Linked DNA regions of Alligator mississippiensis. The protein of the gene in region 2 interacts with the protein of the main gene of each other region in a biochemical or structural test. Links are inferred from orthologs where the notes say so. Each region holds a gene or a part of one and is shown on either strand. Other genes may lie near its edges. The genes, in order: BCL3 and NFKB2.

What was found.
Region 1: the proteins of NFKB2 (region 2) and BCL3 form a complex in vitro, tested with the Homo sapiens proteins (2 studies listed by BioGRID). The link is inferred for Alligator mississippiensis from reciprocal best matches to the Homo sapiens genes NFKB2 and BCL3.

What each region holds. Positions count from the first base shown.
Region 1 is NC_081838.1:31,117,063-31,132,427, reverse strand, and holds BCL3 (B-cell lymphoma 3 protein), read right to left. Parts: upstream 6,351-15,365; 5' UTR 5,379-6,350; coding exon 5,084-5,378; intron 4,750-5,083; coding exon 4,566-4,749; intron 3,729-4,565; coding exon 3,620-3,728; intron 3,443-3,619; coding exon 3,241-3,442; intron 3,012-3,240; coding exon 2,923-3,011; intron 2,829-2,922; coding exon 2,751-2,828; intron 2,634-2,750; coding exon 2,466-2,633; intron 2,003-2,465; coding exon 1,882-2,002; intron 1,776-1,881; coding exon 1,357-1,775; 3' UTR 821-1,356; downstream 1-820. Other genes in the region: CEACAM19 (carcinoembryonic antigen-related cell adhesion molecule 19), read left to right, coding at 7,408-7,441, 7,873-8,253, 8,465-8,624, 8,769-8,806, 8,950-9,035, 9,123-9,161, 9,228-9,275; carcinoembryonic antigen-related cell adhesion molecule 5, read right to left, coding at 9,856-9,903, 10,018-10,053, 10,190-10,281, 10,397-10,477, 10,556-10,843, 10,990-11,265, 11,429-11,788, 12,375-12,508 and 4 more. UniProt on the Homo sapiens protein: Contributes to the regulation of transcriptional activation of NF-kappa-B target genes. In the cytoplasm, inhibits the nuclear translocation of the NF-kappa-B p50 subunit.
Region 2 is NC_081829.1:18,180,597-18,195,756, reverse strand, and holds the start of NFKB2 (nuclear factor NF-kappa-B p100 subunit), read right to left. Parts: upstream 7,247-15,160; 5' UTR 7,148-7,246; intron 2,406-7,147; 5' UTR 2,370-2,405; coding exon 2,349-2,369; intron 2,220-2,348; coding exon 2,141-2,219; intron 1,721-2,140; coding exon 1,680-1,720; intron 1,012-1,679; coding exon 913-1,011; intron 676-912; coding exon 524-675; intron 1-523. Other genes in the region: transmembrane protein 150A, read right to left, coding at 9,856-10,100, 15,021-15,160. UniProt on the Homo sapiens protein: NF-kappa-B is a pleiotropic transcription factor present in almost all cell types and is the endpoint of a series of signal transduction events that are initiated by a vast array of stimuli related to many biological processes such as inflammation, immunity, differentiation, cell growth, tumorigenesis and apoptosis.

The DNA.
Region 1 (15,365 bases), on a different chromosome or scaffold from region 2:
CCCACCCCCTTCCCCCACCATTCCTGGCTGGTGGGGAATGGGGGGGCAAGGGGACCCCCCCACTACCCTGCCAGCCTGGGAGGGCTGGTTTGGTGGCGGGGGGCACGTGCATGTAGCCAATAAAGAGCTGTCAGCGATCCCGGCCCTGGCTTGGTCTGTGCCCCCCCCAGCTGGAGGGACAGGGCTCCGATCCAGCCACTGCCCCTTCCTGGCTATCAGACCGCTCCCTGCATTTCCTTCCTTCCCCCAGGCTTGGAATAGAAAACCCAGGCGTCCGGGCAGCCCCTCCCCAAGCTGGCAAGGGCCAGGACCTGGCACAAAACAGCACCCACCCCACCAGCTGCTCTGCCCCCCCTGCCCCTACTAGAAATGGATCCGGGGTGTCTGGGGTCACCCCCTGCCCTTTGGCCAGCTGCTCCAGCACAAAGGGCGCAGTAATGGGGCAACTGCGGGAGGGTGCAGCTGGCACTTTCCCAAACCTCTGCCAGAACCACCAGAGCAGATCCACTCCTGGGCACCAGCAGGGCAGGGGGTTGAGGGCCAGGAGTGGGGGGCACTGGCAGGGATGAAGGGGGCAGGAGGTTGCGGGTTGGGAGCGAGGGCACCATTGGTCCTTCTGTCCCTGAACCAAGAGGTGCTGCCCCGCCCCCCCAGCAGCCATTTCTGGGATGACATCTCCCCCCATCCATCTGTCCCCTCAGCCCCCCCAGCTGCCCCCTCTCACTGCCCCTCACTCCTGACCTGCAGCCCCCCAACCCCCAAGTCCCTGGAGACAAAAATCTGCATTAAAAAAAAACAAATATTTTATTAGCTGCATCAGCAGCACACCCCCTCTCCCCCCTCACAATAAGTTACCCCCCCTGGAACCCCCCATTCAAGTATTTGATGCTGCCACCTGGGGGGGCAGGGGAAGCAGATGCCCCCCCAGGCAGACCAGGCTGTGTGGGGTGCAGCCTGGCACTGGAGGGGTTAATGCTGTGCCTGGGGGGGTGGGGGGGCTCAGTGCAGGGGACCCCCCCCATCATCTCCAGCCAGGCCCTAAATACCTGCAGGAGCAGCACCCCTTTCCCACCCCACTGGGGGTGCCCCAGACTGGGGGGGGCTAGGCTCAGATGCCCCCACCCCTGCTACATGCCATGGGGGTCATAACCCCACCACCCCCAATGCCTGGGTCCCACAGTGTTGGCAGGGGAGGCGGACAGTGGGGTCCCACAGTCCTGACTGGGGTGGGGGCCGGATGCCTGGGTTCCCCATGGGTCGGTGGTCACCCCCCATGCTACTGGCCCCAGGGAGGGGTCACCGGATCACGGCCCCTGGGCTGGGGTCATGGGGCCACAACCCCCAGGGCTCCCAGCGTCAGCTGCCCCCCCCACCCACTGCATCAGGGGTGCGAAGCCTTGGCCCTGGCCCTGCCCCAGGGGGCGGGCTGCCAGCATCCCTTGGAGGCACGTGATTGGGCAGTGGTCCAGAGCCCAGCAAAACAATTGGCCTGTGGAAAGCGGCAGGAAGCAACGGTGCAAAGTGATTGGCCGGAGCATCCAGGTTGTGGTCCAGCCGTCCATTAGCCAAGGGCAGGGGGAGCTGACAGCCCATTGGCTGCTCCACAGGGGACAAGATGGGGCTGCTCTCCCGCTTCACCGCATGGTGGGTGAGGCCTGGTGTTGACGCTCCATTGGTCCCTTCCGCACCCTCTGCTCTCTGATTGGGTGTAGCCGCTTGATGGGCCCCCGGCGTCTGGGGGGGGCTGGGGGCCAGCAGGGGGGAGCTGGAGAGACCTGAGGGGGGAGGGGGAATCAGGAGCTGCCCCCAAAGACCCCCAAGGGCCTCCCCCACCCAGCCCCAGGGAGTCCAGGCAGGGGGGGGCAAGGGAAGGGGTCTCACCGGTGGGGCTGAGGCCAGGGGAGGTGCTGCCGGTGGTGCTGGGCACTGGCGAGGCCCCATCCCCTGCTCTCTCGGAGGTGGGGGGCGGGCGCGAGGCCTTACCCCGCAGGATGTCAATGACCTGGGGGAGGAATGGGGGGAGGGGGAGGTGAGCACCATGGAAACCCAGGACCACCCTGGTCCTGGCTATGGGGTCCTTTCAGAGGTCTGCCCCTAGAGACACAGGGCAAGGCCCCGAGGGTCCCCACCCCAAGGCCCCCAAATGACCCCCCCACCCCTGCTATTGCCTATGACCTCCAAGGTCTTCCATGGCCCCTGCCCTGACCCCCCCCCCCCCATTGACCTCCCAGCTCTGCCATGACACCCCCCCCCCCGGGCCAGCCTCCCCGGTGCCTGCCGCCAGTGCTGCCACAACCCCTGCCCTGGCAGCCTGTGACGTCCCAGCTCTGCCATGACCCCCCCCCCAGCCTTCCTCAGGCCTGCCATGACCCCCCTGACCTATCCTGAGACCCCCCAGCTCTGACATGACCCCACCCTGACTGCCCCCAGGGTTACCCTGCTCCCACCCTGACCCACGCCCTCACCCGGCGGTTCTTGGCCACAGCCAGGGCGGTGTCGTTGTGGCAGTTCTTGAGGCCGCCGTCAGCACCCGAGCGCAACAGCAGCCGCAGCGCGTCCAGCAGCCCCCGGCCGCTCGCCACGTGCAGCGCCGTGCACCCCGCGTACGACTGCGCGTTCACACTTGCCCCCTGCTGCAGGGCACAGGGAAAGGGGGCTCAGGCCTGGCGCAGGCACCGTGACCCCCCAGTGCAGCCCCAGCCCAGGGTGCAGAGCCCACAACTGGGTGGGGGGGGCATTGAGGGTCTTACCTGCAGCAGCAGCTCAGCCATGGCCAAGTCATTGTTCTCCACCGCATGCAGCAGCGGCGACCGCCCGCTCTTGATGTCCTGGAGGCAGAAAGGGGGGGGGGGGATCAGAGCCCATTGGGCCCCCCAAACCTCTCCCGCACTGCCCCCCATCGAGCCCCCTGACCCCGCTCACCGCAGCGTCTGCGTCAGCCCCATGCTCCAACAGCAGCCGGGCGGCCTCCTGGTCCCGCGCCGCCACCGCCACGTGCAGCGCCGTCAGCCCTGTGGGGGCAGGGGTCAGCTGGGGGGCAGCGCACCCGCAACCCCCCACGCAGCTCCTCCAGAGACCCCGCCACCCATCACCCTGCCCCCCAGGATGTCCCCAGGGACCCCCAAACTCCCCTACGCCCACACCCTGGCTGGGCCCCCAACCACCACCAGGGACCCCCCAAGAGCCCCCGATCCCTCGGCCCCGCCCCAACCCAATAGTCCCCCCAGGGCCCCCGCTCACCCTCGTAGTCGCGCGCCTCGAGGTCGGGCGGCGGGCGCGCGCCCAGCAGCAGGTCGCGCAGGCAGCGCGCGGCCCCGTGCTCGCAGCACAAGTGCGCGGCGCTGCGGCCCTGCCGGTCCCGGGCGCGCGCCGAGGCCCCGTGGGCCAACAGGAGCCGCACGAGCGCGGCCTGGCCCGTGATGGCGGCCACGTGCAGCGGCGTCTGCAAGTAGGGGGTGGGGGGGTCAGCACAACCCCCAGGGGCTGCGGGGCAGGGGCCGCCGGTCGGCACCGCAGCGCCCCCCGCCCCCCGCGGAAGCCAGCGGGAAAGCCCCGGGTGGGGCCGCACGCGGTTCCGGGAAGGTCCCCGCCCCGCCCCGCCCGGCCCCGCCCCCCGCACCTGGCGCAGGTGGTTGTAGACGTCGAGCTCGCGGCCCCCCCGCAGGAAGAGCGCCACCAGGCGCCGCGCGGCCGCCACGTTCCCTTGAGCCACCGCGATGTGCAGCGCCCTGCGGGGAGCGCGGGTCAGCGGGCGGCCCCCCCGCGGGGATGGCGCCGCAGCGAAACCGAAATCGGGGCTTCCAGTAACAGCCCCCGGCGGCCACTTCCTGTCCCAAACCTGCCCCCGCGCCTCCGGGAGCCGCCCTCCCTCTCCCGGCTGCGAGCTTCCCCCCCCGCAGTGCCCGCCAGCCCCGCCCCCTCCACCCCCTGCTGCAACCTTCTCCAGCAGTGCCCTGCCAGGGACTCCCCCGCAGTGCCCTGCCAAGTCCCTCGTCCGCCCCCGCACAATGCCCTGCCACCTGCACCTTCCCAGTGCTGCAGCCTTCTCCAGCAGTGCCCTATCAAGCCCCTCGCTCCCCCGCTGCGAGACTCCCCCCCCCCCCCCCGCAGTGCCCCGCCAGCCCCATCCCCCAGTGCTGCAACCTTCTCCAGCAGTGCCCTGCCAAGACCCTCGGCCCCGCCCCCGCTGCGAGCTGCGCCTCTGCAGTGCCCTGTCAAGACCCCTCTCCCAATCCTGTGAGCTTCCCCAGGCTTCGCCCCAGTGCCCTGCCATGGACTCCCCCCCAGTGCTGCGAGCTTGCCCCACAGTGCCCTGCCACGGCCGCCCCCCGCACACTGCCCTGCGGTGACCCCCGCCCCGCCCCCGGCACTGTCGGGGGAAGCTCGCAGAGCGGGCACAGGGGAGGAAGTGGGGGGGGGTGCCCTGTCTGCCACCCCTTCCAGTAAGGAGGCGGGGCGGCGGGCAGTGACGCGTGGCTGACGTCACGGGGCGGGGCCCGGGCGGGGATTCCCCGTGCCGGGTGGGGTGGGGTGGGGGCCGTGCCCCATGGCCCCCCCGCACTTACGTGTCTCCGTCCTCGTCCTGGCGCGTGGCCGCCGCGACGTCCGCCGCCAGCTGCGCCTCGGCCGCGCCCGGCAGGGCCAGCGCCAGCGGCACCGGCAGCGGCACCGGCAGCGGGGGGGCGAAGCCCAGCAGCGCGGGGGGGGACAGGCAGGCGGCCAGGTCCGCCGGGAACGCACCGCCCAGGCCTGCGGGGGATGGGGGTGTCAGGCAGCCAGGTGTCCGGGTCCTCCCCGCCCCCCCCACGCAGGGCCCCAGGTGTCCGGGTCCTGCCCAGCACCCAGGGCCCCAGACGTCCGGGTCCTGCCCCCCCTACCACCACCACCACCCAGGGCCACAGGCGTCCGGCCCCTGCCCCCGCTGCACCACCAACCCGGGGACCCAGGCAACCGGGTCTCCCCCGCCACTCCCCCCACTCTCCCAAGGGACCCAGCTCCAGTGAACCCAGGCGTCCGGGGCGGGGGCGCCGTGCAGCGCCGAGCACCTCGGCCCTGCGGGACCGGGGCCGGCATCGGAACCCACCTGGGTAGCAGCAGGCGGGCGACAGGCGCGGATAGCGCAGGGCCAAGCCGGGCCCGCAGCAGCCCCCGCAAGGCCCCGGCGCGGGGGGCTCCGGCTCCGGCTGCGCCTGCGGCCTGGGGGGGCTCCCGGCAGCGGCGCTCGGGGGCTCGGGGGGGTCCCGGTCCCGGCCCGGGTAGCGGCGCTTGCGCAGGGGCAGGCAGGTCTCGGGCTGGCGGGCGGGGGGCGCCGGGGGGGCGCGGGGGGGCGCCTCCCGCCGCCACGTCCGCAGGTCCACGGGCAGTTCCTCCGCCGCCATCGGCCCGTCCCGGGCCGGGGCCCGCAGCCGCACGCCGGGGTCCTTCAGCTGCAGGCGGGGGGCGGGCGCGGGTCTGCAGCCGCACGCCTGGGCTCCTCAGCCGGGGGCCGCAGCCGGGTCCCTCCCGCGGCCGGACGCCGGGGTTGTTCAGCCCGCGCCGGGGGCGGGTCCGTGCAGGCGGGCGGCGGGACGGGGCTGGCGGCCCCCGCTCGGACGCCTGGCCTCTCCGGCTGCCGGCGCATCCCCCCCCGGCGCTGAGGAAGAAGCCGCGGGACTTCCCCGCCGGCTCAGCTGAACCCCGGGGACTTTCGGAGCCGCCCCCGCCCCGCCCCGGCCGCCGCTTCCCGCACTCCCCGCCCCGGGGCGGGGCCGGGGACCCCCCCCGGGCGCGGCCGCAGCAGCTGGGAGGGAGCCCGGGCGCCCGGGCCGTCGGAGCCTGCTCCGGCTCCTGCCCCAGCGCCGGGATCGGGGCCGCCGGCGGGTGTGGGGGAAAGGGCCCGAGAGGGGGACTTCGCCCCTGTCCCGGGCGGGGATTTCCTGGGGCGGGGAGAGGAATCATTAACGCCCCCCCCCCTCCCCTCCCGTCCCGCGGTACGAGGCAGCGCCGAGGACAGCAGTGCAGCCGGGGCACACGCGCGTGAATTGCACAAGGGGAGGGGCAGCTGTGAGTGCCCCGGGCTCGGTGCTGCAGCCCTCACCTCCGGCTCCGCCTCCCCCCGCACGGCACCGGTGACCAGAAGCGGCGGCCGAGCTGGAAAGTCCCTTGCCCGCCACCCTCCCCCTGCCTACTGGGCCGAGTCCGGGGGGTGGTCTGCAGTGAGACCCCCGGGGCTGGGGGCGGAGCGGGGCACACGGGCGTGCCAGGGCTAGGCGGGGAGTGTGAGCGGGGCTGAGCCCGGCAAACGGCTGGGTGCACCTGCTGCCCCCCCCGCAGGGGACCCAGACGTCCGGGCCCGCAACCCCCCCTCAGCTCACCCCCCCATAGATTACCCGGGTGTCTGGCCCTAGCCCCCCCCCCCCCCCCATAGATTACTCGGGTGTCCTGCCCTAGCCCATAGATTACCCGGGTGTCCAGCCCCAACCCCCGCCCATAGATTACCCGGGTGTCCGGCCCCAGCCCCCCATACATTAACCGAGTGTCCGCTTTCCCCCACCCAGGCGTCCGGGCTCCGATCCTCCTCCTCCTCCCCCCCCCCCCCCGTTTCTGCGGAGCAGCGACGACACCTGGCGGCCTCACGTGGCACCGCACCGCACCGGCCCGTGCACGCCCCCCCGTGTGAACACACGCTCACACTCTCTCACACACGTGTTGACACGATACACACACGCGTGTTGCCGTGACACGCGCACACGCATATTGGGGCGCACGCGCGTTACCACAACACACACACACGTGTTGACACTCCACGGTTAACACGCCCCACACGTTAACACGCGACGCGAGCACACATATGGGGGCACACGCCTGTTGACACGCGCTGACGCACACGCGTGTTGACACACGCACCGTGCCTCAGCCTCCGGCCCAGCCAGCTCCGCCGGTTCCCGGCGCGGGGGCGGACACACTCCCACGGACTCACACGGACACACACACACGAACACACACCGGCAGGCAGGAAAAGGGGGTGCTGCGCCTCCTCCCCCCAGCCCAGCGGGACCAGCACCGAGCCGGTGAGACCGTCACCGGGGGCCCGGCCGCCTCGGCTCTCTCCCTGCCGGGGAGGGGTCAGCGAGGTCGGGGGACGCTGGGAGCCCGGGCGCCTGGTTCCCTCCAGCCGGGGAGGAGAGTGGGAGCTGGGGGGGGTAGAGGGGGCGGGGCGCTCGGACGCCTGGGCTCTTCCCGGCCCGGCCCCCCGGCCCGGCGCCAGGGCTCCGGCCGCCGCGGTTCGCTGCCCGCCCGGGCCGTGCTGCACCTGGTGACGCGGGGGAGCAGGTTCCGCGGCTCTCGGTGGGGCCAGGCGCCCGGGACGGCCAGCGACCCCCTCCCCTACAACTCGCTCTGAAGCCCGGGTCTCGTCCAGGGAGGGCGATGGCAGCGCCCCGCTGCGGGGCTCGGCTGGCAGGTGAGGGGCACCGGGGGGCTGGGGGTCGGGAGTGAGGGGCACCAAGGGACTGGGGGCTGCGGGTCAGCGGTGAGGGGCACCGGGGCGGGGCGGGGCTGCGGGTCAGGATTGAGGGGCACCAGGGGGCTGGGGGTCGGGATTCAGGGCAGCTGGGCAAGGGCCTGCAGGTTGGGAGCGAGGGGCACCAGAGGGTGCGGGTCGGGAACGAGGGGCCCCAGGGCGGCTGTGACTTGGAAGCAAGGGGCACCGGAGGGCTGGGGGGGTGCAGGTCGGGAGTGAGAGCACCTGGGAGGACAAGGGCCTGTGGGTCTGGAGTGAGGGGCACCGAGAGAGCCTGGGGACTGCATGTCGGACGTGAGGGGCACCGGGGGCCTGGGGGGCTGCCGGTCGGGAGTGCGGAGCCCCGGTCCCACCTCCCTCTCCCCCCGCAGCTCTCCCGTGGCCGTGGCTGTGGCTGTGGCTGTGGCTGGCGCTGGCGGGCGCGGACGAGCTGTTCGTGCTGGTGACCCCGGCCGAGCCCCGCGCCGGGGACAACGTGACGCTGACCCCGACCGAGCTGGGCCCGCTGCGCCAGGTCGACTGGTACCGCGGGGAGGGCGCGCCCGACGGCGGCTCCCGCATCCTCTCCTTCTTCCCGGGGCAGTCGCGGCCGCAACGAGACGGGGCGCGGAGCACGGGCCGGGAGCGCGGCCGCGCCGACGGGACCCTGGTGCTGCTGCGGGCGCGGCCCGGCGACTCCGGCCTCTACCGCGTCGCGCTGCAGCTCCTGCCCCAAGGCAGCCGCCGCGGCCAAGTGCGGCTCCTCGTGCGCGGTGAGCCGCCCCCGGCCCCATCCTCCCCGCACCCCGGACACGGATGCCTGGGTCCCCCCGGCTCTGAGCCTCCCGCAACCCCCAGGGCGCCTGATCCTCCCCCACCCCACCCCACCCCACCCCCCGCCCCGCCCCGGCCCTGGACGCCTGAATCCCCCGGCCCCGACCACCCCCGCATCCCCCCCGGCCCTGACCGCCTTCTCTCCCGCAGACGCCGAGGGCACGGAGCCGCCGCCCGCCTGGGCCCCGCCCGCGGCCCCGCAGTACCTGGGCTGGGTGGTGGCGGCGGTGCTGGTCGGGGCGCTGCTGGCCGGGGCGCTCGGCACCGCCGTCCTCTACCGCCGCCTGCGCCGCGCCGAGCCCGCCACGCGGTGAGCCCCGCACGCCTGGGCCCCTTCCCGGGGGGCTGCGCCTGGGTCCCTTCCCGGGACGGGGGCGGACGCTTGGGTCCCTGCCCCAGGGGGAGGGGGCAGAGGTCTTCGCCCCGTCTCTCACCTCCACCCTTCTCTGTGCAGAGCCATGGGCAAGCTGGACCCCCAGGTCTCCGGCAGGAGTGAGTGAGGGGCCCGGATGCCTGGGTTCTCCGCGGCTGGAGGTTGGGCTGGGGGCCCCGACACCTGGGTCCTCCCAGGCTGGGGGCGGTGGGGCTGGGCCTTGCATGCCTGGGTCCCATGCCCCCTTGCCCCGCCCCCCCAGGTGACAAGCAGCACATCTACGAGGTGATGGAGTCGCCGCTGGACTCCCCCCTGCCTGGGGGCAACACAAACCCCTGTGGCCCCCCGGTGAGTGTGCCCCCCCACTCGGTCCCCCGGACACTGTGAGGGGCAGCAGTAGGTGGGTTATAATAACTCCCCATGTCCACCCCGCAGGACCCCCCCGTAGAGCTGCCACCTGAGCTGCGCTACATGGTGAGTGCCCCCCAACACCCCCTGGTGCCCCCCCCCAGTGCCCCACCTAACCCCAGTCTCCTGCAGGAGCTCCTGAGCTGCGCGGAGTCTGTCTACGAGCAGATCCAGCGCTGACGTCACAGCCCGGGGCACCCCACAAGAGATCTGCCCCTCCCAGGAGACGCCCCCAGAGCCCCGGACACTCGGGATTAAAGAGCTCCTCCCTGCACCCTGCCCCCAGCTGCCTGGGTCCACTCTGTGCTGTGGGACGGGACCGGGACAGCTGGCTTCTCCCATGGGGGGGCCACACCTGGGTTTTCTCCCTGGAGCCCGGTTCCACCCCAGTGGCTGGAAGGAATGCCCAGCACACACCAGGATTAACCCTTTCCTGCCCTGCTGTGTATGTGGGAAGTGGGGAATGGACACTCCCACCCCTCCAGCACACGGCTCCCCAACTGCTGATTCTGGGTGGGGGGGTGAGGGAGATGGCTACCACGGTGATGCCCCCTAGACTTCCACACCCCGTTTCCATGGTGACTGAAACATTGGGGGTAGGGGGTGATGGGAGGGCACCCATCCCTGACCTCTGACCCCCGAAAGGCCTGAATGCAGAATGGGGCCAAGGGAGGCAGCAAACCAGCCAGGCTTTATTTGGTTACAGGGTAGTACATTTGGCACTTGCCCCAGCATGCACCGGGCTAGGGAGGGACATTGCTCAGGTCCAGAGCTCCTGATACAGGTCCCCGGCTCCGAGCTGCAACGTCTGGGGGGACACAGGGGAGGTCAGAGATACGGGTCAGACGGACACACCAAGCCCCTCTCAGGTCTGGGCCCTGATGAGCTGCCCGGTTCTCAGCAGCCCCAGGGAGGCCCTTACCTGGTAGGTGGGGTCGAGGGAGCTCCCGGGCTGGGCCTGGGCAGAGAGGGAGGCAAGAGGGTTGTTAGCACCAGAAACCCCAGGGGACCCAGGTGTCCCGGTCACCATAGGGGACAGAGGGGAAGGCAGGGGGCTGCGGGTTGGGAGTGAGGGTCAAGCCCCTGTCACTTACCACTGCCCCCATACAGGCCGGGGAGGGCAGGTTCTCATACACTTGGGGAGGCTCCTTGCTGTCCCGCGGGGTCTTCCTCCGACAGTGTCGGACTAGGGGAGAGGACAGAGGCTGAGACCAGGAATCCAGGTGTCCTGCCCCCCCCCCTCCACCCCTCCTTCCTCCAACAGCTGGGTGGGGAACCCAGGCATCCAGGTGGCTACTCACAGAGGACATAGGCCAGAGTGCCTCCCAGTGCCACGGCCGCTAGCGCAACCCCAGCCACGACTCCAGCCACAAGACTTGGACCTGCATCATGGGGGGAGATCAGGAGGGGGCAGAGACCCCCCCAGCCCAACCCCCCTGGTGCTGTCCGGGAGCACTCACCCCCCTGCCCTGAACCCAGGGTGATGGAAATGGAGGTGGTGGCGATGAAGCCGGTGCGGGGGTTGGTGGCACAGCACTTGTAGATACCCGTCTGCTCCATGCCCATGAGCACCAAGCTCAGGACAGCACCAGTGCTGGTGCTGGTCTGTGCCGGGACCATGTGAGAGGTGTGGGACCAGGTGAACTGCGGGGCTGGGACTGAGTCAGCCATGCATGTCAGGTTCACTTTCTCACCAGCGGGCAGGGCCAGAGGCCCCTGTGGGATGATGTGGACAATCTCCGGACCATCTGTGGGGAGAGTGAGGGGTGACACTGCCCACAGCCACCCCAGAGCCAGCCACATCCCAGGGTGTGAAACCAGCCCCGATGCCCACCCCAGAGCCAGCTGCATCCTGGGCCTGTGATACAGATCTGGCCACATGCACTGCACTCACAGATGACAGTGATGGTAACAGCTCTGCTCCGAATGTGGCTGATGCCTTTCTGCACCTCACACTGATAGTCTCCAGCATCACCACGGCTAACCTGGCGAAGTTGCAGTGTCCGGTTCCTGGGGGACAGCCGCACACGGCTGCCAGGCACCAGGATGGAGTCGCTGTGGAGCCAGCGCAGGGTCTCGGCGCCCTCGGGGGCCTCGCACGTCAGCTCCAGAGTCTTGTTCTCCAGCATTGTGTCACTACTGAACGTCACTGCCGGGGGGTCCAGGGGCTCTGTGCCAGGGTGGGGGGGTCACTGGGGTCCCTGCTCCCCCTGCAAGGGATTTTGGGAAGGGGTGCGGGGTGCAGGTGGAAAGTCACCTGCAGGATGCCTGGGTTCTCTCCAGGTCTGGGAAGGGAGCAGGCCCTGGGTTCTCCCGGGCCCGGAGGCACTCACCAAGCACAGCCAGGTGGACCGAGATGGAGTGGCCATTCCCGGGCATCCCGAGCAGCACGGTGTAAGGACCGGAGTCACTGGGCCGCAGCCCCCCCAGGCGCAGGGAGCAGCCAGGGCCCCCCGTCTCACGCCGCGTGTACCCGGGCCCGTGGCTCAGGGTGGCGCCACCCTCAGGCCGGTGTGTGAAGATCTCAAATTCACCTGCACGGTACCAGGTGCAGGCCACAAGGCTCGGCTGCGGAGGTGGCTGCGGGGTCAAGGTCACAGCTCCCCCCACCACTGTGGCCGGCGGGGGGTCAGGGGTCACAGTGATGTGGGTCTGGGCCAGCACCAGCAACAGGCAGGAGCCCAGGACAGCAGCTGTGGGTGAGGGGGGTTTAGACTAGCTAGTGAACCCCCCAGCCCTGGTGGTGCCCCTCCCGACCGCAGCCCCCTGCCCCCCCAGCCCTGGCGGTGCCCCTCGCTCCCGACCGCAGCCCCCTGCCCCCTCCAGCCCTGGCAGTGCCCCTCCCTCCCGCCCGCAGCCCCCTGCCCCCCCCAGCCTTGGCGGTGCTCCTCCCTCCCAACCGCAGCCCTCTGCCCCCCCCAGCCCTGGCGGTGCCCCTCGCTCCCGACCGCAGCCCCCTGCCCCCCCCAGCCCTGGCGGTGCCCCTCCCTCCCGCCCGCAGCCCCCTGCCCCCCCAGCCCTGGCGGTGCCCCTCCTTCCCGACCGCAGACCCCTGCCCCCCCCAGCCCTGGCGGTGCCCCTCGCTCCCGACCGCAGCCCCCTGCCCCCTCCAGCCCTGGCAATGCCCCTCGCTCCCGACCGCAGCCCCTGCCCCCCCAGCCCTGGCAATGCCCCTCCCTCCCGACCGCAGCCTCTCTGCTGTCTCCTGCACTCGTTTGCTCTGCTCCTGGGTCCCACCGACACCTCCCTGCCCCACCTTGCCCTTGGCCCCTCTCTCACCTGCCAGGAGGATCCCCCCCCAGGGGCGCGTCCCCATGGCCGGCGGCTGGAGGGACCCCTCGAGGCGGCCCAGCCCCACCACCCCTCCCGGCTGCGCGGGCACTTCCCTGTCCGGGTTGCAACATCCCCGGGAAGGGCGTTATTTGGGCTCCGGGCACCGCCTCTGCCCGGGTCCGAGGGGCACCGGCGGGGCCGGCGGGCAGGGGCTGCGGGTCGGGGTCGGGGCCGTGAAGCGAAAGCCCCTGAAAGGTGCAGTTCCCAGCGCCGCCTCCTGCCATAGCAGCCGCTCCCCGACCAGGGAGAACAGGCGTCCCGGCTGCCGGCAGGGGGCAGCGCAGGCGCAGTTCCCAGGGCAGCCACCAGGGGGCAGCAGCGCCCAAGACAGTGCCGGCCCCACCACAGCGCGGGGCATCGCCCTCCCCCTCGCCCCTCCCTCCCGACCCGCTGCCCCTGCCCGCAGCCCTGCCCCGGGTGAGCTCGTGGCTGACGGGGGGGAAGTGCAGAGAAGGGGGCAGGAAGCGCTGCAATCACGGGTGTCGCAAGGCCTGTCGGCAGGGGGCGGGGGACCTTCTCACGGGCTCCATACGCGTGTGCCCACGTGTGCTCCCCTGCCAGGAGTGCCGCCTTGGACCCCGTGTCCGCCCCCCCAGCTGGAGAACATGGGGCTGGGAGCTCTCCCCAGGCAGTGCCCTGGCACGGGCTGCACCCCCAGAGCTGTGCTGGTGTGAACAGCGCCTGGACCGCTGCCCATGGGACCCAGGCCCAGACCCCCAGACCCAAAGAGCAGCCAGGGCCCTGGCCCAGGAGGCGGTGGGGGCTACTTGTCGGGGCTGCGGCCCACGCAGGGTTAACCAGGTGCACGGGGCGGGGGTGGTACAGGAGTCCCCCCTTGAAGAAGGTGGGGGCCGGACGCCTGGGTTCCCTTCTGGCTGGGGGGGAGCGGAAGCTGCCTTGAGGTTTGGCCTGGTTCCTCTTTGCTGGATTCACTAGAAAGTTTCCTCCAGGGCCAGTCTGCTGCTCCAGCTCACGGAACCACAGCGGGTGCCAGGGAGAAGTCAGGCATGTGGGCCCCCAGCACCCCGCTGGCACCCCCGCCGCACTCCCCTGCCAGAGAAGCCAGGCCCCCAGCCCCGCTCCCAGCGCCAGGAGAGGACCCAGGTGTCCGGGGCTGCCTCAGAGAGCCGCATTTGCAAAGCAAATGGGGGAGTGCAGCTCCGGGGAGGGGGGAAGGGGAGCAGGGGCTGTGTATAGCGCACACGCCAGCAACACGTGTGCAGAGATGGGGCCAAAGCAGCCACACGCTGGGCCCAGAGCAAGCACAGCCATGGCATACGCATGTGTGGATCCAGAGTGTGCTTGGCCATGGCACACGCAGGTGCACATCCAGGGTGCGTGCATGGCCATGGCGCACGTGTGCGTGTCCAGCGGGTGTGCATGGCCATCCGTGTCCAGGCAGTTTCACATCTACAAGCCACGGCCTCGCATGTTTTTATTACAAACACAGGAATCAAGGGATGCCTCAACCCCCACCCCCGGCCAAGCTGGAGGGGAGATGCCCCCAGGGCAGAGAGGGGGTGGGAGCCAGGGATGGCCCCCCCAGATGTGAGCCCCCCCACCCCCACACTGCACAGCTCTGCAAAGCAGAGGGGAACCCAGGCGTCTGGGCCCCCAGCCTCCCCGCTGGAGCACAAGAAAGAGCCCAGGTGTCCTGGCCACTGCCCCCCACCCTCACCCCCAACCCAGGCCCACAGCACAGGAGAGCCCCGGTGTCTGGGCTGCCTGGGCCCCCCGGGCTGGGGGCCCAGGTCACTTCTTCTTGACCTCGGCGTAGACAGTGGTGTCGGCCTTGGCGGGGCCTTGGGGCCGCGGCGTCTGCAGCCCTCCCGCCCGGAAAGCGACGGAGCTGTAGCTCACCTCCTCCTCCTGCTGACAGGGCGGGTCAGGAGGGGGGGACCCAGGTGTCCAGGCTCCCAGCCCCCTGCTCTCACCCCCACCCCCCAGGGGGCCCAGGTGTCTGAGCCCTGCCAGTCCTCACCTTGAGGGGACCGCTGCGGGTGACGTCGGGCCCTGGGGATGACAGAGACGGGTTAAAACAGGGGTCCCAAGGGCTCAGCCCCCTGCCCCCAAGCAGCAACAGGGGCACAGTGTTGGTGACACCTCAGGGTCTTGGGACAGGGGAAGTGCCTGTGATGTCACTTCCTGTGTGCTAAGGGGGTTCCCATGATGTCACTGGGGTGCCCCCCACTCTCCCACAGCCCTCAGCACTCACCATGGGGGGCCACAGGTGTCCTGGATCCGGTTTGCACCGGTTTCTTGCTGTGCCTGGGGAGAAAGCAGTGTGAGCCTGGGAAGGGGGGATGGGGAACACCCTCCCCCCCATGCCTGTCTGACCCCTGCCTGTCTGGGCAAATCCAGGCTCCAGGCCCCCTCCCCACCCAGACAACCCATGTGTCCAGGCTTCAGGCCCCACACCAGGCCAGTACCTTTTGCTCTGGCCCCAGAAGTAGTAGAAGACAAAAACAAGCAGCCCCAACCCCACCAGCGTCCCGATGATGATGCCAGCGATGGTGCCGCCTGACAGACTTCCTGCGGGCAGATAGGAGGAGGCTCAGCCAGGTGCAGGGTGGTATGCAGCACCCAGGTGGCACCAAACCAGATACAACGGAGGGTCAGGCTGGGACTCAGAGACCACCACACCAGGGAGGATTGGGCCAAAAGAAACCCCAGGGAGTTCAACAACCACAAGGACAAAGTCCCGCATTTCAGACAGGACAATCCCGGGGTGGGCCGGGGGCCAACAGGCTGGGCAGCAGCTCTGCAGAGAAGGACCTGGGGTGACAGGGGACCAGAAGCCAAATAGGAGCCAAGAGTGGGGCCCTTGTGGCCAAACCTATCTGTGGAAACAGGAACGCAGTTAAATTGCAAAAAAGGGCAATTTTCATCACATGCAAGCAACCAACAAGGCAAATGGCACCCTGGGCTGCGCTTGTA
Region 2 (15,160 bases):
ACACAGTCTCAAGACTTCAGCCAGTGCCCTTTGGCACACCCAACTGGTCCTGTCAGAAGTGAGCAGCCTCAAGGGACTTTCCAGATATGCTCACGAAACCTGCCTCCCAGCTGTCTGGCATGGGCAAAGGGCTTTGAAGGGAGCTTTATGCAAGGGATTGTCAGGTAAGACCTTTCCAAGCAGCCCAGATACAGCCAGTCATTCATGAAGGTTGAAGGGAGGTGCCAGCTAGACAACAGCAGTGGGAGCTAACGGGGAGAGGTTGTGTGGTGCAGAACAAGAGGAAGGAAGCACCCCCAACACAGGGACCAGGACCTGATGCTATTGCTGAAGATGCTGAGCTGTGAACAAAAGGAGAGGCTGCACAGGAGTGCAGCTGGGATAGGGGCACAGTCCTAACACATTTGCTCCCTACACTAAGCACAAAGGACATTACCCAAGCCCATCACCCTACTGCGGCATAGCCATCCCTTAGCCAGGGCCTGCAGGAGCCTTCCCCAGCCCTCAGCAGTGCAGTACATACTGTGCTGTCATGTCCTTGGGCCCCACAGTCACAATGCAATTGCCAGCTTCGTTGCACTGCTTCCCCACCAGGCTGTGGGCATGCACACGTGGGGGGTCACTGTGGGTCACCAGGTCCACTTCAATCCGTGCCAGGCCTACATAGTTGCAGATCTGTAGGGAAAAGGGGAGTTCTCAGAGAGTTCATAATCATGACAACCTCCACCCCGTGAGCTCTGGCCTCAGACCCCGTCTACAATCTCCCCATGGCAGGAATAAATCTCATCCTAAGCACCGTGAAGCACACACATGCCCTGTACAGGCTCCCCCCCCCAGCGTGCCAGACAAGGTGCAGGGAGTACCCCATGGCTGGGCAGAACAGCACTGTCTCCTCCAGGGCCTGGTGCTCACCTTGACTGTGGGGTAAGTCTTGCGTCCCTTCTCACTAGATGCTCCAGGCAGCCCACCATGGGAAGGGCCTTCACAGCCGTATCGGAACCGGAACCCACGCTGCAAAACCAGAACCCATGTCACTGCACCACCAGAGACCAAGCAGCCCTGCCAACCAGGGTGCTGGGCACAGGGACCCTACATTCAAGGCAGTGAGCTCACAGAGACTTCAGCCCCAGCTTCCCCAACCAGAAGGCACCACAGAGAATGGTGAAACACCACTGTCCAGAGCAGCGGTTCCCAATGTGTGACCCACGCAGGGACTCAAAACGGTGGCTGTCCTCAACAGAACCAGCTGGCTGGCGAAGCTGTAGCCACTGACCCTTCAGAAGCAGCTGACTGACAAACCTTAGCAGTAGCCCAGTAATCCACTCTTAAGGATAAGAGACTTCCCTTATAAAGGGCCTGGAAGCTGACTGAACATGCAGTTTCCCCTTCTCCAATTGCTTTTTGGAGGCACTCAGCTATGTGAGCTGACCCGGCACATTTGTCAGCAAGGTAAGTCGGGTGTGTAAGTCTTACTCCAGCTGAAATCAAGCAATGATCCTGGACTGTTCTTACTTGGCTTGTACAAGGCATGTTCTGTTACATCTGCTGAACATGAGGTGGTGCGCTGCAGGTCACTTCTGTCATGCAGCCCCAAGCACGACATCCCACCCACTAAGCAGGCTGCAAACAAAACTTTGGAAACCACTGCTGCAGAGAGACCAGAGCTGCCAAGCCCTTACCTGTTTTGGTTGCTCAATGATGAGAAGATACGGGCCTTCGGCTGGGGAGAAGAAAGGAAAAATACTGAGGGAAGAAAGAGAGCTTGCCCCCGTCCTGGTGATGCCGGTCAACAGCGATGGGTGGGAGGCCATGCCGAGGACACCCTCGCCGAGCTGCAGCCAGTTCTTTCTGGCACTATGGGAACTTCAGGACGGGCAAAGGTCCCATAGCCTCGGCAGTGGGACAGTGTTTCTGGGGTTCGTGGTAGGGGCTGAGCGGGAAGGGGATGGCCCTGCTCACCCACCTGAATGAGAGGAGCAGAGCAGGATGGGGAGCCCCTGGGGATGGATCACAGGCCAGCGCTGTGCCCTGGGATGCTCCAGCCAGCCAGGCCCGGCCGGGCCGGGCAGGGCAGGTGACCACTGCCCACCTGGCAAGCGACGGGGCCCGAGGGTGCTGCCAGGACCTGCCTCTGCCTTACCTGTCTCCATCAGCGGCTCCTTGTGCTCCACCATGTGGGAGCTGAACTGGAAGTCGTCATAGTCGATCCCGTCCAGGCACTAGGAGAGGGCAGGGCAGGTCAGGGCAGGGCATGAGGCCGGGATTGCCCCGCGTCCGTCCCGTCTCGTCCCCCCCCCGCCGGCCCGGCCCGGCCCGGCCCGGCCCGACCCCGGCCCCGCCGCACTCACCGGGTTGTAGGACTCGTCCATGGCGGCGCCGCGCCGCGCTGCTGCCGCGCTCCGGGCCTGCGGGCGAGAGCGGGGTGAGCGGGGCCGGGCGCGGGCAGCCCCGGCAGGAAGCGCGCGGCGCGGGGGAAAGCCCGGCCCGGCCGGCGCGGGCGAGCAGGAAAGTCGGCGCCGCGCCGGAAAGTCCCCAGAAGCCCGCGGCCGCCTGGAAATGACGGCGCCGCCCCGCCCGCACGCCCGCCCCGCGGCACCCGCGCCCCGGAGCGGAGCCCGGCCCGGCTCACCCGGCCCCGCACGGCCCGGCCCGGCCCCGGGCACAGCGGGGCGCGGGGAAGGCCCGGCCCAAAGCCACCTGGGCCTTTTCCAGAGTCCTTTCTGCCCGGCGTTAAGCAACTGAAAACAAAATTCTACTTCTCTCTCATACCATGAAATTTCTGAATCACTGGCTGCCGGTAGGTCCTGCCGCTGGGGATTTTGGGCGTGTGGGGGAAAGAGGAGGAGGAGGAAGGGGATTGTACACTCACTGACTCATTTTCATCAGAAGTTACAGGAGGAAAACCCTCCGTGCTGAGATTTTCCCACTGGCCAAAGTCTAGCAGGATGAGCAGCCCCGGGGGGCGTGGGCATGGGCTCTGCCTTCCCTGCCCGCACTCCCGGCCCAGCAAGCTTGCCCAAAGCAGGTGCTGTTCACGGGGAGTGGGGCTCCGTGTCCCACGAAACCAGCATCACAGAGCAGGCCCAGGGCTGCGAGCCGCCACACGCTGGCAACTTCCAGACACCGCAACAGAACAGGTGCAGGCTCCAGAGCCCCCCGCTCCCCGGCACTGCCCCGCACTACAGACAGCATCCAGCAAATCCTCTCCAGGCCACTCCAGCCACCAGGACAGGCTTGCCTGCCCCAGCCACACACCCTTCCACCAACTGTCAGCTCTGTGGGGACAGTGGCACTTTCCCTAAATGGGACCCATGTCCTTCAACACAGTGGGTCCTCCCCCTCCACAGCTGGGCCCCATGTTCCACTGTTCATAGGCTTTCATCTTGCAGCGATTGCTGTAGTCCAGCAGCACCTCCCAGCAGCACAACAAAAGCAGCACAATTTATGTCTGGCACAAGGCTGTTCCCAGCCTCTCCCCAGAGCATGCAATGGAGTGCCAGCTTCAAGATTTTTTTTTTTTTTTTTTTTTTTTAAGTGAAATGTTTTGCTCTATTTTTAAGAAACCGCCCCCTTGCTTGGAGAGTCTCCTTCACTGCGGGAGGGCAGGGGTTCAAGAAAAGGCTGAAAGCCTCTGGCTCTCCACCCAATTTCAATAATGCAGCTGTGCGAGCACTATAGGATTCTTTAGGAGAGGAGGGACTAGAAACACCTTAAGATAACAGTCTGGAGGGGTGTCCTCATCTCATGTGGTGCATTCCTCTCTGTCCCTGGTCTCCAGGGCACACATAAAAGCATATACTCGGTCAGACTATGGATCTGTCTAGCCCAATGTTCTGCATCTCACAGCAGCACATAGCCAATGCAAAGGGGAAGAAAGTATTTATGGAGGACAACCTGCCCCCCCCCCCCCCTTTTTCCTTCCTAGGCCTCTAAATCAGGGCTGGAAGCTGGTAAGTCCTATTTTGGAGGTTGCATCCATAGGTGAAATGTTTAAATTTCCCCCAATAGACCCATCTTGCATGAACTATCTAATCCTCTTTTGAACCCAATTAAGTTATCAGTTTCTACAACACCTTGTGTCAACAGGTTAGTTACAGGCTATGTGAAACAGAACTTGCTTCTGTTAGCTTAAATTTGCTTCCTAATACTGTTCTTGCCCACCCCCCCCTCAATTTAACCTGCTAAGTGACCTTTAAGCTCAGGTCAGATGTGTATGTTAGGGCTGAGCACCCGAGCATGGAGAAGCTGTAGGCCAAACTATAGGGAGAGGCAGCCCCACCACAAGCTGTAAGATTTTATGAGTAATAGTGGGGCTGTCTCTGCCAGTACTTGTAAGATGCAAGTGAGTTTCACTTTCCAGGCCTGTTCCACAGTCAGAGCCAGGGCCACGGAGCAGGGATGGCACCCTCTGCAGGACAGCTGCATGACTGTAGACCTCACTGCCCAGTTACACCAGCTGCCTCAGTTATTAGTGTCCAGGCCCTGCCACCCAGAGCAGATTAACACTGTTTTTTCACACCCAACTCCTGTGGATGTGACCCAGGAACAGAGCACAGGTACTACTTCTGCAGTAGTATCCGATTCATGCAATTCATCATCTTCTGGGTGGGAGGGAAACACATTCCACCTTCGAGATGCGTACATAGCAAGGGCACCCTGTGGTCATGGGGACGGATGCTTCAGGAGTGCCAGGGATGACGCATAGCCCCAGATCCCCCTCTGAAGTTCCTTACACATCCCTAGAGCTAGCTGCTCCTCTCCTCTTCCTTTTCTTTCTAGGAGCCTCTCCAAATTTTGCCTTTACTGGATGCCTTACTGCTGAGCTCAACTCAGGTCCTGTTTATGAAAAGCATGCTATGTCAGCCCCAGCTTCCTGGCCTCACATCCCTGCACTGAAACATCTGGCCTGCTGTACTCTGTCCCAGGAGCTTGTATTAAACCAGTGCAGCCCCTGTCAGTCCTCCCCTCCGACCCCCACACAGCAGCACAAAAGTCTCAGCTGCAGTACAGCACAACCCTCCCCCGATTCCTAGAAATCAGAGGAGCCCCATGACCATAGGGACAGGCCGGGCCCAGAGCCAGCCTTTGCAAGTTTGCTGTCTCCTCACAGACATTACATTAGTTACGGCAAATCTAAGCTGCCTCCTGCTTTAATCCTCTGGTTTTCTTCTAGGGGCTTGTAAGACAACTCCTTTGTTGGTTGGGTTATTAACAGCCTGCTCCCGTTGTACATCATCTACTCCCTCCCCTACTACCCTTACCACTGGCAGCTTGCCCTTTTCTCCTGTCCATCACCTCACCTGTCCTCCACAGGTTCCCAGGTCATGGGGACATCAACACTACCTTAGCAAGACCATGCTGTCCTCCAGGATGAATTCAGCTGAACAAGCTGATCCAAATACGTTCCAGTAGCCTTTTCCGCACAGTGCTTGCCAAGTGGACAGCACTCTACAATCCTAGTGCACATAAGCATCAGGGAATTGCCTCTCACAACACCTGGGGGAATAGGGAAGATTACCCCCTTTTTACAGAAAGGGAAACTGAGCCCCCAAAGGGTGGCATCACTTGCCTGAGACCATAGAGGGAGCAGGTGTCAGAGCCAGGAGCAGAACACAAGGTTTGAGCACAGCACTCAGATACCAGCTTTCCCTCATCAGCCTGTTCCTGCCTTTCCTCCTAAATCTCAGCACATGGAAGTGCTAAATGCTCATTACCTGTCCAGATGAGACTGCAGCCTGACTGGTCTCCTCTCCCTTGTTCTCCATCTGGAGCCTGCAGACCACCTTTTACCAGCTTCACTTTCAATCATTCGTGTCCCCGACTGCTGCCTTCTGGGGAAATTCACAGGCCCTTTCCCCTCCCAGGCCTTCAAGTATAGCAACTCCCCAGCTCTGTACAAGTGCCCTCCCCCAAGCACTAGCAGATGCGTGGAGCAGCAGATGGATGCAGGGATGCCCTCCTTTCTGTTCCTCACCTCACTGCAGTCAGTCCTCATCCACAGCACAGCCTCACGGGGAGGCTCAACCAAAGCCTTCACACAGGGCTTATCACCCAGAAATACCCTCCTGGCATCACAAGCCCAGAGCATCTTGCCCGGCTGGTAGGGGCTGCTCTCTAGCTGCTCAGCGCGTGCAGTGCGGAGCTTACACAATGTTTTGGGAGGAAGTGGGTCTTACTGAAGAGAAAGTGTCAGAAACACGTTTGATAAACAGTCACCCACGTTTCCTGCTGTCCCACATCTGCCTTCCTATGGCAGCCACATGTTAATTGCCAGGGATTGCCCCCATCAGTCACATCTGCCATGGTGTCTAGCCAGCCCCTTGTCCTTAGGGGCAGCTCCTTCACAGCCTGGCTATAGGACACATCTCCTACAGCCAGAACCCAGCACAGTTACCCCCGCTTGAGATTTCCCAAGACGGCTCCTGTTGAGATTGTTCCTTTCACAACCTGGAACTACAGGCCCCGAGATGTCCAAAGTCTCCCAAGTCAGCCGCGTTCCTCTAGGGGCGCTCTGCCCGGCTGTGGATGGGTGCCCCCGCAGCCCTCACATTTCAGCCACAGCCTTTTCAGGAGCGATTAACTCTAGGAAATGAGGGGTAACCTGCCCCTTCACAACGAGGAGAACAACTGGTGGATTTAAAAATGGGAACAAGTGAGGGGCTCGCAAAGCTGCCTTCCCAAGCAAAGCAGATCTCATTATCCTGCCTGGTCCTGACCCTCCACTGAGGCCTCAGCCTCCGGTGCAAATCCCGGGCTCCCGAGCTGCACCGCACAGCCTGGCGGAGCGGGATCAGAGGCGCGAGGGAGGGCAGCAATGAAGCCCACATCCCCTCCATCGCCCGGGAGAGGCGCTAGGCCCAAGCGACCTGCTTCAAACCCCGGCGGCCACCTCGCCCAGGCCCAGGCTGCCTGCGGGGGCCGGCCCCGGCGTCCAGTCCCCGCCCGCCCCGGGCAGCAGCCCGCAGGCCACCCGGCGCGTGTCCAGGGGACACCCGCGGCCTCCAGCCACCGCTCCCGGCGCCGCACGGACGGGCAGAGCGGGGCGGCGCGGCCCGCGGAGCGACGGCACAGCCGGGCGGGGGGAGCCCTGCCCCAGGGCGGCGCAGTGGCCCGGATCCTCCCGCAACCCCCGGCCCCGCGCCCTCACCTCCAGCCGCCGCCGCCGTCGTCCCTTCTTCCTCCCGCCGCCCCGGGAAAGTCCCGTCCAGGCACCGCCCCCCGGGGATTCCCGGCTCAGCCCCGCCTGCAGCTCCCGCCCGCGGGGCGGTGCCTCCGGCCGCGGGACGCCCCTCCCCGCCCCGTCCCTGCGGCCGCCGCCGCCGCCGCCGCCGCCGAGCCCGCTGGGGCAGCTCCCCAGAGCGCCCAGCCCAGCCCCGCCTAAGACAGGATCGGCCCTATGCCCCCCCGCCCCCGGGCCTGGACATCGCCTAAGGAAGCAGCATCGCCTGGGTGGGATTTCCAAGGGACGGACTTGTCCGGGCCCCGGGACTCCCAACGGGACTCGTGCCCTTAAGTGGCTTAAGCAATACTTAAAGCTGGGGCTTTCCAGTGGGTGCTAGGGTTGGAAACAAAGCCAGCTGGCGTTGGACTACCAGCCACACAGCCTGGGAACCACTGCCGGAGGCTGGAGTCTCATATCCTGCTGCACCTGCCCCAGCTCCCCGCCTCTGCTGCGCTAGGGCATTCCTCCCCAAGGAAGTGAGCTCCTCATGCTTGGCTGATTTTTAATTTTATTATTGCAAATGTATGTCTCTCTCTATATAGATTCTTTACATACATATATAATTTCTCCACTGTGAGCACTGGCACATTTGCAGACCAATCCATGTGAAAGGTGGACAAATCAGGAAACGCAGCCAAGTGAACACACACAACCACAGCGGCAAAAGCCCCTGTCAAGGGGCAAGGGTGGGGAGGGGAGAAATACACTTCATCCTTTCTATTCACTCACACAGCTGAGGCTGATCCACCTGGATTCTCCTCCTGTGTCCCAGGAAACCTGCGCAAGGATCAGTCTAGGGCAACCACTGACATTTGGTAGCTCTGGCTGGCTTTATTCTTGTCCTGAGTTAGGCTGTGCTACCTGGGAAGAGCAAGATAGCCCTGGGCTGCAAATCAGTGAGGTGAAGAAGCACCACTGTGTGTGTGGGGTGCAATTTCTAGTCACAGCCACAGTCACAGCATGCCTGAACAGACCATTTCCAAAAATGGGTCAAAGGCACATTTGGTGACAGGCAAGATAAGACAGGGGTCTCGTGCTGAGAGTCATGGCTGGGTCTGCCAGGACCTTCCTACGTTGTGTTGGGGTGGATACTATACCTTGTTATGCCTCAGTTTCCCTCACCTGTGATGTAGGAAGGGTAATAACTGATCTTATCCCAGGGAGGTGGATAGAGAAGCTGAATTGCCTAACAGCTGCAAAGAGCACTCCTCTATACTACGGTGCAGAACCATGACTGACAAATTCAACCATGCAACAATGCAGAAGGGTAGAATTGTCCTTTCCTCTGAGGACTTGATATGTGATGTGTAGTGTCAGAACTGGCCAAATCCCTGCCAACTCTCCAGTGTGCACATACAACACCTAGCACAGCAGGGCTTCTGGGCACTATTGTAATATAAAAAGGATATTCTGATACGTGCAGAGGGAGGTAGAGGAGGACTGTGGCAAGAATTCAGAGAAGGCCTCATGGAAGATTAAACTTGGTCTAATGATTCTCCTTTGGGCTGAGAACACACAGGAAGCATGGCAGGATTGGGGGGGGGGGGGGGTTCCTGAGAAGTCAGAGCCCTTGGAAACAGGGCCCCTAGAATTAAAGTGCTGCCTCCACCCTAGCTCCAGAATGGCTGATACCCTTGAAGGGCTCTTTACAAGGACTACTTTCTCTATGATGTTCACTTAATCTTCAGAAAGCAACCAGCCAGGATAAGCCCTCACGGCTTGATCCATAGGGTGGAAGCCCATCTAAGAACCAAAACAGCAAGTGATTCCACCTTTGCCATAGGCACTTGGGGTCTGCTCAGACTGCTCTGATATTGTATATTAAAAATAATGATAGTAAAAAAAACACACATCTGCAGGAAGAAAAATTAAGGCATCTGTACTTTTTGGGTCGAACTGTCTGGCCACCTTCAATCCATCTGGATAGATCTGACGCTTTGTTTACTAATCATTATGTCCCCACTGCTCAGGCTAGCCAGGCAGGGAGGGGATGCGATTTCTCAACATCAAACAAAAACAGGCCTGGCTGGTCCAAAGGAATTTGGTATCTTAGCAGAGAAGGAACTGGCCAACTTGTCCTCTTGTACTGTCTCTGGTCCTCAGAGAAGCCTTCCCCTAATAGAACAGAAATGGGTCATCTCTGAGGGCAGATGCCATCCCCTTCACTGCGGGGAATGGCATGTGCCTCCTCAAAGGCGATTGTCTTCCTCTCACCACCACAGACCCAGGAAAGGCACATTGAGTCCCCTCACATATTGAGCTGACTGGGGAGTCAATTGGATCCTACCACCTTTCATCCTGTTCAGTGCCTCCCTGCCCCTGCATGGAGACCTCTTTGGTATGGGGGAAGTAGATGTTTCTTCTTTCCTGTAAAAAAGCTGCTGGTGATGATACCATGGAAGTGTGGGAAGTAAGTTTGTAATGCTGTCTGCATGACTCATGCGAGGGAAAGCTGGGGTCAGGGCCCCAGTCAGCCAAACACCCACGCACAACACACTGTGGGAGGCCACTTGGCTTCTGGATATGTTCAAGGCAAGAGAATTGCTGGCAGTGTCTGGATTTCTGGTCTCGCTGAAAGCCCCTGGCCAGCTCCCTGGCACTCACAGGCTGAGACCGCATGGAGCAGTTTCCCCTCAAATCATGGCCAGGCTCTCCGAGTGGCTGTGGATGTGAGGCGTGCTCGATGTGCTGCTGTCAGCTTTGTAGCTTTTTGGAGCCCGACTGGCTTTCAGGAGGACCAGGAAGGTTTCCGTGGAAATGGCTCCAAACTCAAATGTGAAGGTACCGTAGAAGACCAGGACATCTATGATGAACACCCACTCGCAGAGGGCGGCCACATGCTGGAGCACAAAGCTCTCCTGGACGAAGAACACGCCACCTGGGGGTGCCAGAGTCAAGGAAACCAGCCACAGACAGCCAGGCAAAGCATCTCTGCCCAGGGGGAAGGGTGCAGGCAGCTGCACCGGGCACCCAGGAAGACAGACTGCATGGGGACAGGCCCAAGTTAGTGTAAGATGTGCTGACAGCCTCTGCAGGAAATCAGCACAGCACCTGGGTACCAGAAATACCCGACTCCTTCCCCTACCCCCAGAACCAGTCCCCAGGATGGATATATAGCCCCAAAGCAGCAGGGGATGCAGCCCTCATCCCCCAGCCCCGGATTACTCAGCCAGCGGCAGAGCCAGCTCACTCTACTTGGAAGCTGATCTTAATCCTGTTCCCATTAGTAACAGGGGCAGAAGTCCCCATTCACTTGCCTGGAGGCAGGACCATGCCCTGGATCAGATGCAACTAGTGGGCATGAAGAACAACACAACCACCAGTATCCTCCAGTCCCAGCAAGGACTGCCTGCGTAGGGGTCCAGCCTCTGAGGAGCACCATCCCATCTCTCCCCCCACTCCCTCCCCCTCATTAAGTTAGTTATTGACAGGGCAGTTTACAGAGGTGCTGAACTGGAACGTCCAGCTGCCTTTTGGAGCGAATTTACCAGCAAAGGTCCTAGTGGGTTGATTATCAACCTATGAACTCCTGCATGCCAACAGAAGTCTCCCATGGCAGGGGCGGAGAGGGACTCTCATGCACAGCCAAGGGTGTTAATGATCATCTCGGCCTGATCCTCCCAGCACAAAGTCTATTGTCAAGCAGGTACTAGTATGCAAGGAACAATCAAGTTTGGAATCTCACACTTGCCTACCACCCCATGAGACGCACGCATCAGGGCAATCTCTATCTGCAGCAGGGATCCTCTGGCCCTTCGCCACCAAGATCATGTGGCTGGCCCCAGGTAGAGATCTGCACATTCCCTGTGGGAACTAGGCACCCACTTCCCACTGAGTTTCAGGAGGAACTGGATGCCCAACTCCCTCCAGTCCCTTGGAAAGCTCCTACCTTGGGTTCTTCCTACACTCCTTTTCCATGTCAGGGGTCCTTTGTACAACATATGGTCACCTGCTCTGGTTGCCTCTTCCATTTGTTTGCAGCCCTAAGCCCCAGTTCCTCAGACTAAGGCTGGGCCCTGCTCTGGTCTGAGTACTCTACTCCTGACTGCTCTCCACCTCTGTCTCACCTTTATCTTCTTGCTGCTAAACCAGTTCTCCTGCAGCCTCCTCCTCTTCTGATTTACCCCCTTCCTTTCTCATACACAAGTTCTACAGTGCAACACACCCACCAGCTTCCATCTCCCAAGGCAGGCATTTACAGCCTAGAAGGACTTAAGGCAAGTTTAGTGACCAGTGGACAAGTTCTAAACAAATGCTCCTTGCTACCAAACCAGGGTCCCCAAAGCATTTCAAAGCTCACCCAGGGCAGGGCCTGAACCCACAGTCCTCAGAATAAGTCTCATACTCAACCTTCTTTGTCCTGCCCTGCTGCCTCCTAACAAGGGGCTTTTCATGGCACCCTTCCAGAGACCCACCATGCCAGCTCAACAAGCCCACTGACTGCCAACACCCTGGTTCCTCCCAGTCACAAAGCTCTGCCACACACTTCCCAGCCCTCCAGAATCCACACGGATCTCTCCAAGCACATTCTTAGTTCCCTTCCCAGTTTCTGTGGGTGAGTTAGGACAGCAGAGGAATTTATTACTTTCAGATCCTCTGAGGAGTTAACTTTGCTGCCTTTTTTCTGTGCTACTTTGCACCCTGCGTTCCATCCTGGGGGACCAGATGCCCAGACCTGCACCCTCTTGCTGTGAAAGATAAGAGGGAAAGGATTTCCCAGAAGCTGTTCCTTTCTTATCCCCAACAGTTCTCCACTTGGCAGCAAATAAGTCTTCTCATGACGTGCTTTCTTAAAAAAACCCCAGCAGTTATTTATTTGATAAAGTGTTTGCAAGTCTCAACTGGTTACTGCCATTGCTTTTTCTTCCAGGAAGAGCCCACGGTTCTATCCAAAGGTTTCATGCGTCACAACTTTGTCCTAGAGGGGGACCAACCACTGGGAGCAAGAGAGGATCCGGACCTCTGGCTCATGTGTGAACTCCCCACAGACACTGCTGGGCCTCAATCAGTCACCTTTACTCCTTCTGGATATGGGCCAATCCCCCATAGGTTGGTGACCTCACACACCCCAGGGTCTGTAACCTCCACAGAAATCTATTTGCTTTCCAAGTGCCCCTTTCACTGGCTGTCCTCTCTCTCCAGGTATTTATAGACCACCAGTCACCACAGTGTGTGGACAATGACCACAGCCTTCCTCCCCATTCTCACGTCCCTAAATGCCCTGCCATCTCCTTCTATTTCTGTGCTTTGCCAGCCTGACTTTACCTGCATTTTAGCCACTCTGGATTCTACTAACTGAACTTGGATCCCAGCCCCTCCCTAAGTATCCAAACTCCTCCCTGCACCCAGCCAATGTTCTTGCAACCCATGGGATTCAATATTCTGCCCTTTGTAAGGAACCTCAGCATTTCAAACCCAGTGTGATCACTGGCCAGACAGACCTACTTCACAGCTATCTGTCCTGCCTGAGCAATCTTCTGATCCCATCAGCCAGATGGATATGCATCACAACTGAAACCACCATGCCCGCATCCAAGGGCAGATATGGGGGGGGGGGGTGTGCAGTGGTGCACCCCTTTTGATTCCTGCTCCACTCAAACTTTATAGCCAACTGCCTGGGAGAGACAGCATTTCTATTCAGGCAGCACTGAGGAAATCAACTGATTTCATGGTTCATTGTAATATACCCGATTCCTGCTAATCTCAGGTGCTAATGACCCTCTCTTCTTTTTAAATAGTCTTGATGTTCTATTAATTAATTTATGCTTTCTTCCTCAATCTTGCTGTCTGTTAGCCATTCCTGGAAATATCTCCCTTCTGTTTCACAGCCTTGCATATTATTTTTAGTCCTAGCTAAAAACCTTAATTCATGTATGGTAACTTTAACTCACTTATGGAAATGACTGACAGTGAAGTGATGGATACACTGTCAAGATGTTCAAGAAGGCTAGATGTTGTTTTACAAATGTGAATAAGAGGTGTACATTTAACTATGCTGACTACAGGAATAATAAGACAATACCTTTTGACTATTTTGCCTAGATTATTGTGTTTTCAAACTTTATATATAATCTAGCAAATTAATGCACATTCCTATAGTTATATTTGATTTTTGCTTTCATCTTAAAAGAATAATATATCAGTGGCACCTAGCATATTAGTGAGTTTTCTAGTTTCTCTTTAACTGGAGAAAAATACATTGTATCATATGTAATGCTGCACCACACCATCTTCACCTCCTTTTTCAAAATCCTAGATCCATCCATGCCTGCAGCCACTCTTCTCTCAGTCAGCACCTCTGAGGAGCCAGACTCCCCATGGTTCTTGCACAGGCCTCCTCTCCCTTTCATATTGCCAGGGGCTCTAGAGCCACACAGAGCCTTCACCTTCCTTTCCCATTTTATCCATGACCTCAGTCCAAATAAGCCTCAGCTGGGTCAGCCCAGACACTAATGGCTTTTCTTCCAGGGAACACAACTTCCCCTTAGTCTCAACACCCCCTCCTCCATTGCTTTGTTTGCAAACCCTCATGCCTGCTAATTTAGCTGCCCACACACTGCCTCTCTCACCAAGCCTGTGTTACTTTTCCCTATATTCATGTCTCTAATTTAGCTCCCTAGTTGGGTTTCCTTCTGGTGTTTGCACTTGACATTTATAGCCTTTCCCTCCTCCCTCCTTTAGCCCTAGATTTTCAATACAGTGACCTATAGACTTCTCAGGTGGCTGACTTGGTCAGGGCCAAGGGTCAAACACACTGCAACCTCTTATTTATGTTGCACCAGTGCCTCAGCCACAGCCAAGACCTTGGTGTGCACGAGGCTGGACAAGCACAACACAAAGCTGTCCCTGCTCCAAAGGGTTTAGACTCTGAAATAAAGGAAGGTTGTGTCTTCACAGTAGTGGGATTTGAATCTGCACTGAGGAAAATACCAGAGCCTACGTGCAGTGTGTCAGACCATGCTGCCACATTACCAACTAGACTGGAGCACTGACAGTGCTCAAGTGCTCTGTGTAGCCTGCTTGAAGCCAGATGCAAAATGCTGTCAGCGGCTCAGTGAGACAACACCAAGGCAGAAACTGCATTTTACGGGTATGATGGAGAAACCCATGGAATTGTACTGCTCAATGGCCCCATAGTCCACCACCAACCAGCAAACACATGCAAAGACCACAGATCTAGACTGCCCCTGAAGAGCCAGCAAGTCTTTCTTTAGCCTCATTGGAGCTCCTGCTACCTAATTAAAGCACACACAGGGTCTCATGTATCAGCATTCCTGTGCTTCAAAATGGCAGTGGGGGTGCTTTAACTAAAGTTCATCGAGTGAGCTTTAGTTAAAGCACTCCTGTTGCCATTTTGAAGCACAGAGATGCTGATATATGAGATGCAGAGGCTGCTGGAGTGCTCCAATTAGCACGCTCCAGTAATTAGTGTGTTGGAGCAGCCTCCTCGCACATCTACCAGCACCCTAGGGCAGACCTGTTGTACCTCTACTCAACCTTGAGTCTCTACCACACTTCTAATCCCAGCTGACAACACCTCTTCTCACTTGCCCACACCTCCTTTCTGGTGCTGATTCTCCTTGTCACTGTGTGGCAGACAAGGGTGGTACATGCTGTGCTAGGTCAAGGTGGGCTGCTTTGCACAGCTCAGCAGGTGAGCAAGGACATTCCCCCCCACACGCACACATACACCAGTCTTGTTATCCAGCCCTGCAGCTTGCTTGGCTCCAGCTGGTTGTTTGCACACACTTGACACCCACACACTTCTTACCCAGGTGCTGATGCTGGGAAAGGATACTGAAGACAAGGGTGATGAAGGCCAGAGCAGTGAGGACACTGCGCAAGTGGCCGGTCCAGTAATGCCTCCGGGTCTTTGCCATGCGGTAAGTCAGAACTGACTGCAGGAACAGGAAGAGCATGCTGGTGGGGAAGGCTACG